3 linked regions of the Yarrowia lipolytica genome follow. The protein of the gene in region 1 interacts with the protein of each later gene in a pairwise test. Links are inferred from orthologs where the notes say so. Each region holds a gene or a part of one and is shown in the gene's direction. Other genes may lie near its edges. The genes, in order: YALI1_E39924g, YALI1_F26039g and YALI1_B28830g.

Region 1 (3,750 bases):
TCAGAGGCCAGTTTCTCCCGGGCCTGTTTGGCTCGTTCTCCTCGGAGAAAGATCTTTTCGTCATGCTTAGTCTTTGCCTTCTCGAGAAGCTCACCAGAAAGAGATTTCTCTCCTGCAACCACGATTCCAGACTTATCGGCGTAAGCCACGTGGGTGATCCAGTCGGGGACCGTCTCGTGGGATCTCAGACCCAGAATGGCGTGTGTACCTCTGGTCTCAGGCAATTCCTTGCAGACATTGCTGACAAGGTCAGCGGCACCGGGATCGAGACCAAGGAAGGGGTCGTCGATGAGCAGAAGCTCGGGATGCTTCATGAGAGCCTTGGCGATTCGAGATCGCCGGGTCTGCCCGTTGGAAAGAGCTCCAAACCATCGATCACCAATTTGGTCCAGCTCCAACATCTTCAGCAACTGGGGAATGTCGTCCATCGCGGTTGCGGGATCACGGGAGGCTCGCTTGAGCTCCTCGATGAGAGTCATGTCGAACTCGTCCTTGAAGAACTCATATCGAGCTGACAAGTGACCCATGTTGATTGATCCTCGGAACTCCAGCGTCTGGATGACTTGGCTGGGAACCCGTTTTTTCTTGAGGAAAGGGTACTGCCGGCCCAGAGGTGGATCTGATACATGTTTGGCGGCCAGAATGGACATCAATTGCGACTTTCGAGGTCCACTGATGACCCATTTCTCATCCGGGTTGATTGTCAGCGAAATGGGATTGGGGAAAATGTAAGGGTTGGATCCTGACGAGGCCAGGGCCCCAATCATGCGGAACTTCGCGTCTTTTATCGATATCAGCGGCAATCGAGTCATTTCACTGTCGTTGTGATGTTTCGAGAAGGATGAATTTGACTCTTACTTATCACTGGTCTAGAGCCGTATAAGGTTGCCTAAACATGTACTCAATAATCTGGTGTGGGGGGTTGAATGTGGGGGTACTGGATGTGGGGGTGGAGAAGACAAAAGCACTCGGCATCGAAGAGTCAGCTTGAAATCGGTGTTATTCATATCCAATCGTCGCATGTAGTTTCCTAAATAGGACCTCTAAAGCCGCAGTACATATCCATCAGAACGGTGGAACGTTACTTTTTTCTGATCAAAAGTGAAAATTCAGAGGGAAATGATTCTCAAGCCATGGTTAAGGCAGGTTATGAGAAATTTATCTGGAGAGAGGGAAGAACAAAAACAATAGGAACGCCATAGTTTCTAGCAATTGTCCCACTCTTTCCCTATCGTTATGTGCTCTATATCGACTCTGCTCGCCTCGTATCAATACAGTACAAGTACCTGCAATGGTATCGTACTCGTATGGCTAAAATTACGAGGATACGATCATGATGATGGTAACCGCAGCAACAACTCAGCTCCCAGGAGACACACATGAGTACTGCTGAGAATATGCACGTGCTGTTACGATGGCCACGCAATCATCAATAAACGATATGAACGTATACAACTTATCAATTCACCCAGATAAACACTCAATTGTCTCACTGATCACAGGCTAACTCTTTCAGTCGCACTGCCGCACTCACACCTCCAAGCCTTGTGTGGCTATTAACATCCCTGATTCTGCATGACGGGTGTCCCAACCGTGCAACCATGCATGGCCACGTAGCGATATGGCGAATCTAGAGATGAGTCGCTACACTATGATGAGAGCTGGGGAGGCGGGTACCTGTCATGATTAAACGACAACTGACTCTACCTCCCTACCATAGCTTGTACTTTATAGTGTCACCTTCCACGGAAAGACCTAACCCAGATTGCACTAGTAACCAAATCCGGGTAACGCAACCCTAATCAACCACGTCCCTTAAGCAACACCTTACGCTAGCCTTCGTGGAACCTCTCTCTTGAACCCTTCTTATACAACAACCCACATATCATCATGGACGAAAAATACGACGTCATTGTGCTCGGCACGGGCCTTACCGAGTGCATTCTCTCCGGTATCCTATCCGTCGAGGGCAAGAAGGTGTTGCACATTGACCGGCAGGACCACTACGGTGGAGAGTCTGCTTCTCTCAACCTTACCCAGCTCTACAAGAAGTTCAGACCTGGCAAGGAGGACACCAAGCCCGACGGACTGGGCCGAGACCGAGACTGGAACGTGGATCTGATCCCTAAATTCCTCATGGCCAATGGAGAGCTTTCCAACATTCTGGTGCACACCAACGTGACCCGATACATCGACTTTAAGCAGATTTCCGGCTCCTTCGTTTTCCGATCTGGAAAGATCGCCAAGGTGCCCTCCAACCGATCGGAGGCCATTAACTCTTCTCTCATGGGTATGTTTGAGAAGCGACGACTTGCCAAGTTCCTCGAGTTCGTCGGAGGCTACAAGGAGGACGATCTCGCCACCCACCAGGGCCTCAAGCTCGACACCAACACCATGTCCGAGGTCTACCTCAAGTTTGGTCTTGAGACCGGCACTCGGGACTTTGTGGGCCACTCTATGGCTCTGTGGACCAACGACGACTACCTCAAGCAGCCTGCTCGAGAGACCGTGGAGCGAATCGCCCTCTACCTCAACTCCATGGCCCGATACGGAAAGTCTCCTTACATCTACCCCGTCTACGGTCTGGGTGAGCTGCCCCAGGGTTTTGCCCGTCTCTCCGCCATCTACGGAGGTACCTTCATGCTTAACAAGCCCGTTGACGAGATTGTCTACGGTGAGGACGGCAAGGTGACTGGTGTCAAGTCTGAGGGCGAGGTTGCTTCCGCTCCCATTGTCATCGGTGATCCCACCTACTTCCCTGAGAAGGTCAAGAAGACTGGCCAGAAGGTTATCCGAGCCATGTGCATTTTGGACCACCCCGTGCCCAACACTGGCAACCTGGACTCTGTTCAGATCATCATCCCCCAGAACCAGGTCCAGCGAAAGAACGACATTTATATTGCTGTCATGTCTTCTGCCCACAACGTCTGCGCCAAGGACCACTACCTGGCCATTGTCTCCACCATCATCGAGACCGACAAGCCCCACATTGAGCTTGAGCCTGCCTTCAACCTGCTGGGTCCCCGAAAGGAGACCCTGATGGGCATTGCCGACATCTACGAGCCCATCGAGGATGGCACCAAGGACGGAGTCTTCATCTCCAAGTCCTACGACTCGTCTTCGCATTTCGAGTCGACCACTGACGATGTCAAGGACATTTATTTCCGCCTGACTGGCCAGCCCCTGGTGGTCAAGCCCCGACCCGAGAACGAGGAGGATGAGAGCGCTATTAGAGCCGAGTAAGCTGCATGTCTGTAATGATAATATATTGAAATGAGTGATTATGCATGATATTATGTAATCTTACTTAGGGAATTGCAGAGTAGATAACTGCGAATATAAGATAAATTGATGACTCGTTAATGTTAAGTAAACGCATACGCAACCCAGACCCCATCCTACACACTCGCACAGTGTTAACCAACCAAATAAATTAATTACAACGCCTAGAATAAAAAGTATTAACCAGGCTCTAGAGTGCCTGATTAAGTTGTTCATCTCATGCTGTATGGTCCGGTATCTCGGCCCATTAAGCTAGCAGGAGACATGCCGGGTCGACCGCCGCGACCAGGTTTTCGCCGAGTTTGAGGCTGGAACTGGAAGTCGGGGTTGCCCGAAAGCAAGAGATCGTGCTTATTGCCATGACCAGGTCCCCCGCCACCATAAGGAGGTCGAGGACCCATATTGGGAGGAGGACCACCCATGTTGTGGCCACCCATGTTGTGGCCACCCATGTTGGGACCACCCATT
Region 2 (3,426 bases), on another chromosome or scaffold:
AGATTCGGTCTCTCAACTCCTGGCCTGGTCGTGGCTGAGCTGGTTGGGCAGGGGCTGTCGGAGATGTTCTGGGAATACCCTTGATGGCCTGAAAGAGTGCGTTGTTCTTAAGCTGATTAGCAGACCGCGTGGAGGTTGGCTTGGCTGTTGCAGCTTTTTTCACTCCTCCAGCTGATGCGACTCTCTTGGCTGACCGTGGAGAGCTGGCCGAGCCTGGAGGCGCCGAAATCCGGCTTCTCAGCGCGTTGGCTTTTGGCTATGTTAGTAGTGAAATAGTAAAATGGGCGCGAGTATCGACCTGACTTCACCTGACTGACTGGGTGCGCGGATATCATGTTGATGATCATGACTTCTTTCGAATCATGACACGGCTGATCTGAAGGGTCTAGAACATTTCACCAATATTCTATCAACCGTTCTGGGCACGAAAAAGGGCATCCCAGGGTCCAGACCTAGTCTGGGTCGCTTTAACCCCGAGTGTTGTTCGTATCTTCCATCCTGTTCGTCCTTATCGCATGTGGTCGTCTCATTGTCGCCCGTGGTCGTGGTTCTCTGTTCTCACCTGTTTTGACGAAGCTGCGTTAGTACGGATCACTTGTAGCATTGCAAGTTAGTGCTGAGGCATTGAGTGGCTCGAAATGCAGAGTCCTGGCCCATATATACTCACACATGTGTCGTTGCACTAAAGAAGACCGATAGTTGCAGAATTGAGATGCTGTTGGCGACTTTTTGATTTTGCTGCACGAGATGCTTGTAGTTGTACCCTTTAAAAGTTTGTTTCAGACGAGACGGTGAAGGGAGGACTTACTGAAAAGGATGGAGCAGAGTATGCTGGGAGAGGTGAGAGAGGGTGGAAATAAATTCACCCGACTTAAACAACCTGTCTGGGAAGTTTGCGGTCTATTTATACCAGAGATTCCAGTATTTTGTTCACTTTCCATTGCCGTTATGGCCACGTTTGGCGGCTGTTCATCTGACACCTTGTCAAATAAATGGCTGCCTGCCCACTCTGTTCAGAAGGTTACAACGACACTGGGAGCCAGCAACAAAAACGATTTGTGAGCACAATACGAGATGCAGCATTGATTATGCTGACCAAAGCACCCCCAGAGAGCGTACTTTGCCGCAGGAACCGAACTGTCCTTCGTACTCATACCAGAAGTGGATACAAGAATACAGACATATTTGCAAGTACAGAACGTCTAAGTACCTGTCCATACTGTACATCCTGTACATGTAGGTTGGACACGGCTGTGAACAGTGAAACTGAATGTACAAGGGCCCTGTAGGAAACAAGTGTGGAATAGCAAAGTAACGAGATATGATGGTTGTGATGACAGTAGGTATAAAAGTTCGGCGCCACCTATAACAGAACTGTCATCGGAATGTGTCTCTGATCATCTCTGCTTGTCCTTCCTACAGTATTCGTACACCGCGCGCATAGTGCATAGTGCACGTGTTCTAAGTAAAGATAAGTAAATGGCCAAGTATCCACGTAACTGGCAAAGAGAATTTCAGACCATAATTTTACACCGAAACAGACAGCTCTTCCTTACTACAATAAAGTACGAGCATTGTACTGTACTGTACTTACTGGAATATCAACTATTGCCCTCAATTCAAGTCACGATTAGAAATACTCTTGGACTAAAATTGTTCATCAAATATCCTCTGCCCTCAGGTTTTGTGAATGAGCGTTTAGATGTTGGAGTGTCTAATTACGTCATCAAGGTTGCCTATACCTACCAACCATTTCCTCCACATGATACCCTCCTCCTCACATCACACACTCTATGTAACACCTCGTATCTATATAATCTGCATCTCCCCCCCGTTTATCCCCCTTGGAAACCCCACATCAGCTCATCTCCCCCTGAGCACCTTTTCCTCGTCACATGCACCTCCCAATCGCTCCTATGTTGTGGTCCCCCACGGCAAATTACCCTAACCCCGGTCTATATCCCAACATGGCCGACATCATAATGGTCCTTATCCATTACAGACAACCATGCCGCCCAAAAAGAGAACCATGCTGAAGGTCGTCATCCTCGGCGACTCCGGCGTTGGTAAGTCGTCGTTGATGTAAGTATACCAACACAAAGCGCAGTCTGCTGGGCCCCCTGGTTGATGTGCTACCATGGCAACCTTTCGTCGACTCAAACGGTTGTTGGGCAACAAAATCGTCATTGGGATTATGCCACAGATGAAGAGAAGACAGAGATGGGGAGCAACGAATGACATCGTTTCCCACAGCTTGATTCGCTTTCTTCCACCTACTATCAGATACTAACCAAGGCAACAGTACGTCAACAACAAGTTCAGCACACAATACAAGGCCACGATCGGAGCCGACTTTCTCAACAAAGAGCTGACTCTCGAGGGCCGAAAAGTCAACATGCAAATCTGGGACACGGCCGGTCAGGAACGGTTCCAATCCCTCGGTCTGGCTTTCTACCGAGGCGCCGACTGTTGCGTTCTGGTCTACGATGTCAACAACTCCAAGAGTTTTGATGCCCTGACTCTGTGGCGAGATGAGTTCCTTCTCCTTGCCAACCCCCGAGACCCAGAAAACTTTCCTTTTGTGGTGATCGGTAACAAGGTGGATGTGGAGGAGAGCAAGCGGGCAGTTTCCGCCAAGCGAGCCCAGGCCTTCTGCAAGGCAACCGGCAACATTCCCTATTTTGAGACCAGTGCCAAGGAGGACACTGGTGTAGACCAGGCTTTCGAGACCGTTGCTCGAAACGCCATGGCACAGGTGGACTCAGAGGACTACACGGACGATTTCGCCGACACCATCAACATCCATCTGGATAATGAGCAGTCCAACTGTGCTTGTTAAGAAGTATTTATCGCAGGGGCACGTATGTTAATATATTAGAGGTTAGGATGGGATTTTGTGTACGGTAGCTAGATGAGCTGTAGACGACGTTCATGGCTCCTTCGGTTTAACCACTGTACACTGTGCAACGGACAAGGTGGTTACAAGAGCCTACCCTACTCGTACCATACTTGTTCAGGAAGAACTTGTCACTTCCAATTACATATGGCTGAATAATAAATAATGCAATAACTTATATGATCTTATTGTTTTGCGGCTCAATCGTGCTCACGCCGTTCTCCGACACGACCAACAACATTGGACTTCAGATACGACTTTCGCTTGCACAGACTGGTCCACCGTCTTCTTCTCCAAGTACCCCTGAATCCGTCGGGAAGAATGTCATAGACCCACTTTTCGTCCTGGTCAATCTCGAGGTACTTGCGCCAGGCACCCCACCAAGCTACCCACTGTTCAGGCATGTAGTCCATTTCCCAATCGGACGACCGCGGTAGAGAAGATAGCATATCTCTCTCAGGGACCTCCAGGAAGGTCCATCCTGTAGGAGGTAGAACTTCCTCTAACGAATAAACTCCTGGGGGCGCAGG
Region 3 (3,393 bases), on another chromosome or scaffold:
AGTCCCGTCTTCCTTACAATGTATTTGACAGGATGAAATTCCTGAAGCAGAAATGTTTCCTGTTTAAGCAGAATCAGATATCTCGCCTTTTTATCCTCCTCACTTCTGTATTCTCGCACTTTTCTCCAATTTCTTACATTTTTTGAACCCCCCCCCCCCCCCCCCCATTCAACCCCAGAAACAATGGGCCTCGGCTCACCCAGTTCACCAACCAAGGGATATATGGAACCCGACTACTGCAAAACAGTCTGAAACACGCTATATCCTAACTACGAGTACATAGTGTTAGCCAAGTCCAGAACAATTCGCGTGTCCCCAATACATGTCTTATGCACGATCCGCATGGATAAAGCCCCCATTTATAAACGAATACGAGGAGATTACGACAGGTCAGAGATGTGCAATCGAACTACGAGATTGCCGTATAAATTGTGAGCCAACAGACCAGGTATTACCCATGACTAAGACACAACTGACACGCTGGGCAGTTGATATATTCTTCATCAAGTGGACCTAAACCATTAGCGCGTGAAAGCTACAAGGGTACGACCATTGGTCTTGTTGACACTAGGTGGAGGAAACAGTATTGACAGAATTGCTGGAAAAGAGTAACACAGGTTTACGTACCAATGTGTGGTGTACGAGTGCCTCATTCCTGTTGAGTTGTTGAAAACGTGGACTTTCTCGCCATGTCAGGGAGATGCAGCAGGGTCCTTGGGTAATATACAACCTCATAAGTACATACTGTAGTCTTAGACTAACTGATGAACCCTTGGATTACTGCCTGTACGAATACAAACACGACTATTTGTACCCTTGTATGTTCCGAAGATCTAAAGCATGTCTCGAGGGCGGCACATCCAGGGGTAGGGGTGAACCAACAGTTTAGCGACGAGCACATTCCAAGTCTTTTACTGTAAATTTACTGCATCGTCAATAGAATGTGCTACTAGACTTGCAACTTGACTTGGGCCGTAGTATATGCTGAAGAGATGGACCGGACAGGGCACTTGTTTGAGAGCGAGGACCAACACACGTATAAACAGAGCTAGATATAAACATCTGCAGTAATCTATTGTATAGAGACGTTTCCATAGTCAAAATACAGACACATTTCAGTCTAATTTCCATGAAACAAGTGTCTCTTGCCGGCAGTAAGAGTTCGGTTGGTTTGCACCCATGCACCCAACAGATAGTCTAGATCTGCTGAGTAACGACTGAGGAGCAGATAAAAACTGGTTTAGACTGAAAAAATGATATGGAGGCTGTTGCAATCTCGACTCTAGACGACATTACAACGGCACATCAACTGTCAAGGGTAGCCGAGGGTCGGTTGTAGTTGCCGAGGTGTACAGTGAAATCGACGTGCAATGGAGCTCTTTCGTAAAAATACACGTCACCAATGACTTCAAGGGAGATTACTGTATCAGTCCATATTATCCATATATCATGCCCCAAGTTTTTCTCACGTAAACACCTTCCCGTTGTGCGTGTACGAGTAGTACGCGTAGTACGAAATAGTTTGCACACAGGTGCCACAATGGACTAATAATACTCGTAATATAGCGTGCTTGTATAAACACAACAAGTCTTATTTATTGTGCCCACACCTTCCGCTTCCGCTTCCGCTTCCAGGCCTATGTCTACAAGTACGATACTTGTAGGTCTCTCTCATGTCTCCTTTCATATCGCTCAAGTTTCGTTCTCCCAACAGTCCGTATGAGCAGCCTAATCTGTCTGCCAACGGTGCACACGTGATCAGGAGTCTTGTAGACGGAGTGTGTTTTCCGCAGTAATGACGCCACAGAAAAAATTCAAACTGGAATCAACTCGCAGAAATTTGGAGGTGTCCATTCCACTCTTCAGAATTGGCCATGCCCGTTTCACAGAACACCTCAGCCCTAATCACAAGACCCACAACCTTAACCGGTACAAACCCTAACCCCCACACATGCAGTGAGTTGTCACCACCCAGAGGGACATGACGGACTAACAGGTTGTGATAATATCAGGGTGAAGCACAGAACGGCGATTTGAGCTACCGAAAAGCGAAGCAAAGACACGAAACAAGTCACACAAACCCGCGACTTTTGCCACCCGACAGTTTCACCGTTACAAGACACGCTTCCACCGCCCCAGATAGTCGCACAGAACCACTAAGATGACCGAAACAGGACAAATCCAAAAGTTCAAACTTGTCATTGTGGGCGAGCAGAGTGTGGGAAAAACGTCGCTGATCACGCGAATCATGTACGACAAGTTTGACCAGAACTACGAGGCAACCATCGGCATCCAGTTTCTGTCCAAACCCATGTATCTGCCCGATCGAACCATCCGGCTGCAGTTATGGGACACTGCGGGCCAGGAGCGGTTCCGATCTCTGGTGCCAGCATACATCCGAGATAGTCACATTGCCATTGTTGTGTACGCCATCGACTCGCGCAAGTCGTTTGTGGACGTGGACAAGTGGATTGAGGACGTCAAGGCCGAGCGAGGAAATCAAGTGGTGCTCATGCTAGTTGGAAACAAGAGCGATCTGGAGGAGTCACGAGAGGTGACGACCGAGGAGGGACAGGAAAAGGCCAAGCAGTACGACGCGCTGTTTCTGGAGACGTCGGCCAAGGCTGGCCACAATGTCAAGTCGATTCTCAACAAGGTGGCGTCCGAGCTGCCCGGTCTCGAGACGGCTCTCAAGACCGACCAGAGCGAGCTGATTGACGTGAATATTACAAACGAGCCTGAGCAGGACAGCTGCTCGTGTTAGACAGGCTGTGGAGGATAAGAGTATTATGACACTGAGCATGGATGTAAGTAAATAGGTGAAATTAATTTAACGACAGAGGTGTGGAAGACTGGGTGCTTCAGCCAGTAAAAACGATATCGTAAAACAATCTACCGTGTCGCGCTCTCCCTGCACATGCGTTATAGACATCAGGGGCTCAGGGGTTACAGGTGGAGTATCTGCAGTCTAGAACTTGCTGTAGATGTTCCGATTGTCTAGGAACACCCATGATTCTCCTTCAGTATGAGTATTCAGATGGATATATATGACGCGTTCTCTTCAAAAGCCTCCCCCGACAGAGAGTGCTCAAGACCCTAGAGTCCTGTGCAGTATGTACCAAGTACTGTATCTACTGTACCTACTGTACTCGTATCAGAGGTATCTCATGAACCATCTGACAGAAATATGGATTCTGAAAGGGGCCAGCTTCACATACACATCATACCGTCTATCCAGGAGCCCCTGGAGACTACAAGTAGGTGTAGTAGCTACTTGTAGTAGAGGGAAGGCCTTGAAGTACGGTAGAACATAAGATGAATGACCTTGTTACTCTAGCATATGGACAAGTACATACGTCCAGGTGAACTGAACAGTTTCTATGTTCAATCTGC

What was found.
Region 2: the proteins of YALI1_E39924g (region 1) and YALI1_F26039g interact in binary tests that used the Saccharomyces cerevisiae proteins (3 or more experiments, as listed by UniProt). The link is inferred for Yarrowia lipolytica from reciprocal best matches to the Saccharomyces cerevisiae genes GDI1 and YPT7.
Region 3: the proteins of YALI1_E39924g (region 1) and YALI1_B28830g interact in binary tests that used the Saccharomyces cerevisiae proteins (3 or more experiments, as listed by UniProt). The link is inferred for Yarrowia lipolytica from reciprocal best matches to the Saccharomyces cerevisiae genes GDI1 and YPT6.

What each region holds. Positions count from the first base shown.
Region 1 is NC_090774.1:3,990,530-3,994,279, reverse strand, and holds YALI1_E39924g (uncharacterized protein), read left to right. Parts: upstream 1-1,890; coding exon 1,891-3,243; downstream 3,244-3,750. Other genes in the region: YALI1_E39934g (uncharacterized protein), read right to left, coding at 1-812; YALI1_E39886g (uncharacterized protein), read right to left, coding at 3,495-3,750. UniProt on the Saccharomyces cerevisiae protein: Regulates the GDP/GTP exchange reaction of SEC4 by inhibiting the dissociation of GDP from it, and the subsequent binding of GTP to SEC4. Plays an essential role in the yeast secretory pathway.
Region 2 is NC_090775.1:2,602,772-2,606,197, reverse strand, and holds YALI1_F26039g (uncharacterized protein), read left to right. Parts: upstream 1-2,008; coding exon 2,009-2,082; intron 2,083-2,295; coding exon 2,296-2,839; downstream 2,840-3,426. Other genes in the region: YALI1_F26058g (uncharacterized protein), read right to left, coding at 1-256, 318-347; YALI1_F26012g (uncharacterized protein), read right to left, coding at 3,097-3,426. UniProt on the Saccharomyces cerevisiae protein: Ypt/Rab-type GTPases are key regulators of membrane trafficking and intracellular vesicular transport.
Region 3 is NC_090771.1:2,881,086-2,884,478, forward strand, and holds YALI1_B28830g (uncharacterized protein), read left to right. Parts: upstream 1-1,951; coding exon 1,952-1,956; intron 1,957-2,019; coding exon 2,020-2,103; intron 2,104-2,151; coding exon 2,152-2,764; downstream 2,765-3,393. UniProt on the Saccharomyces cerevisiae protein: Protein transport. Might participate in post-Golgi transport.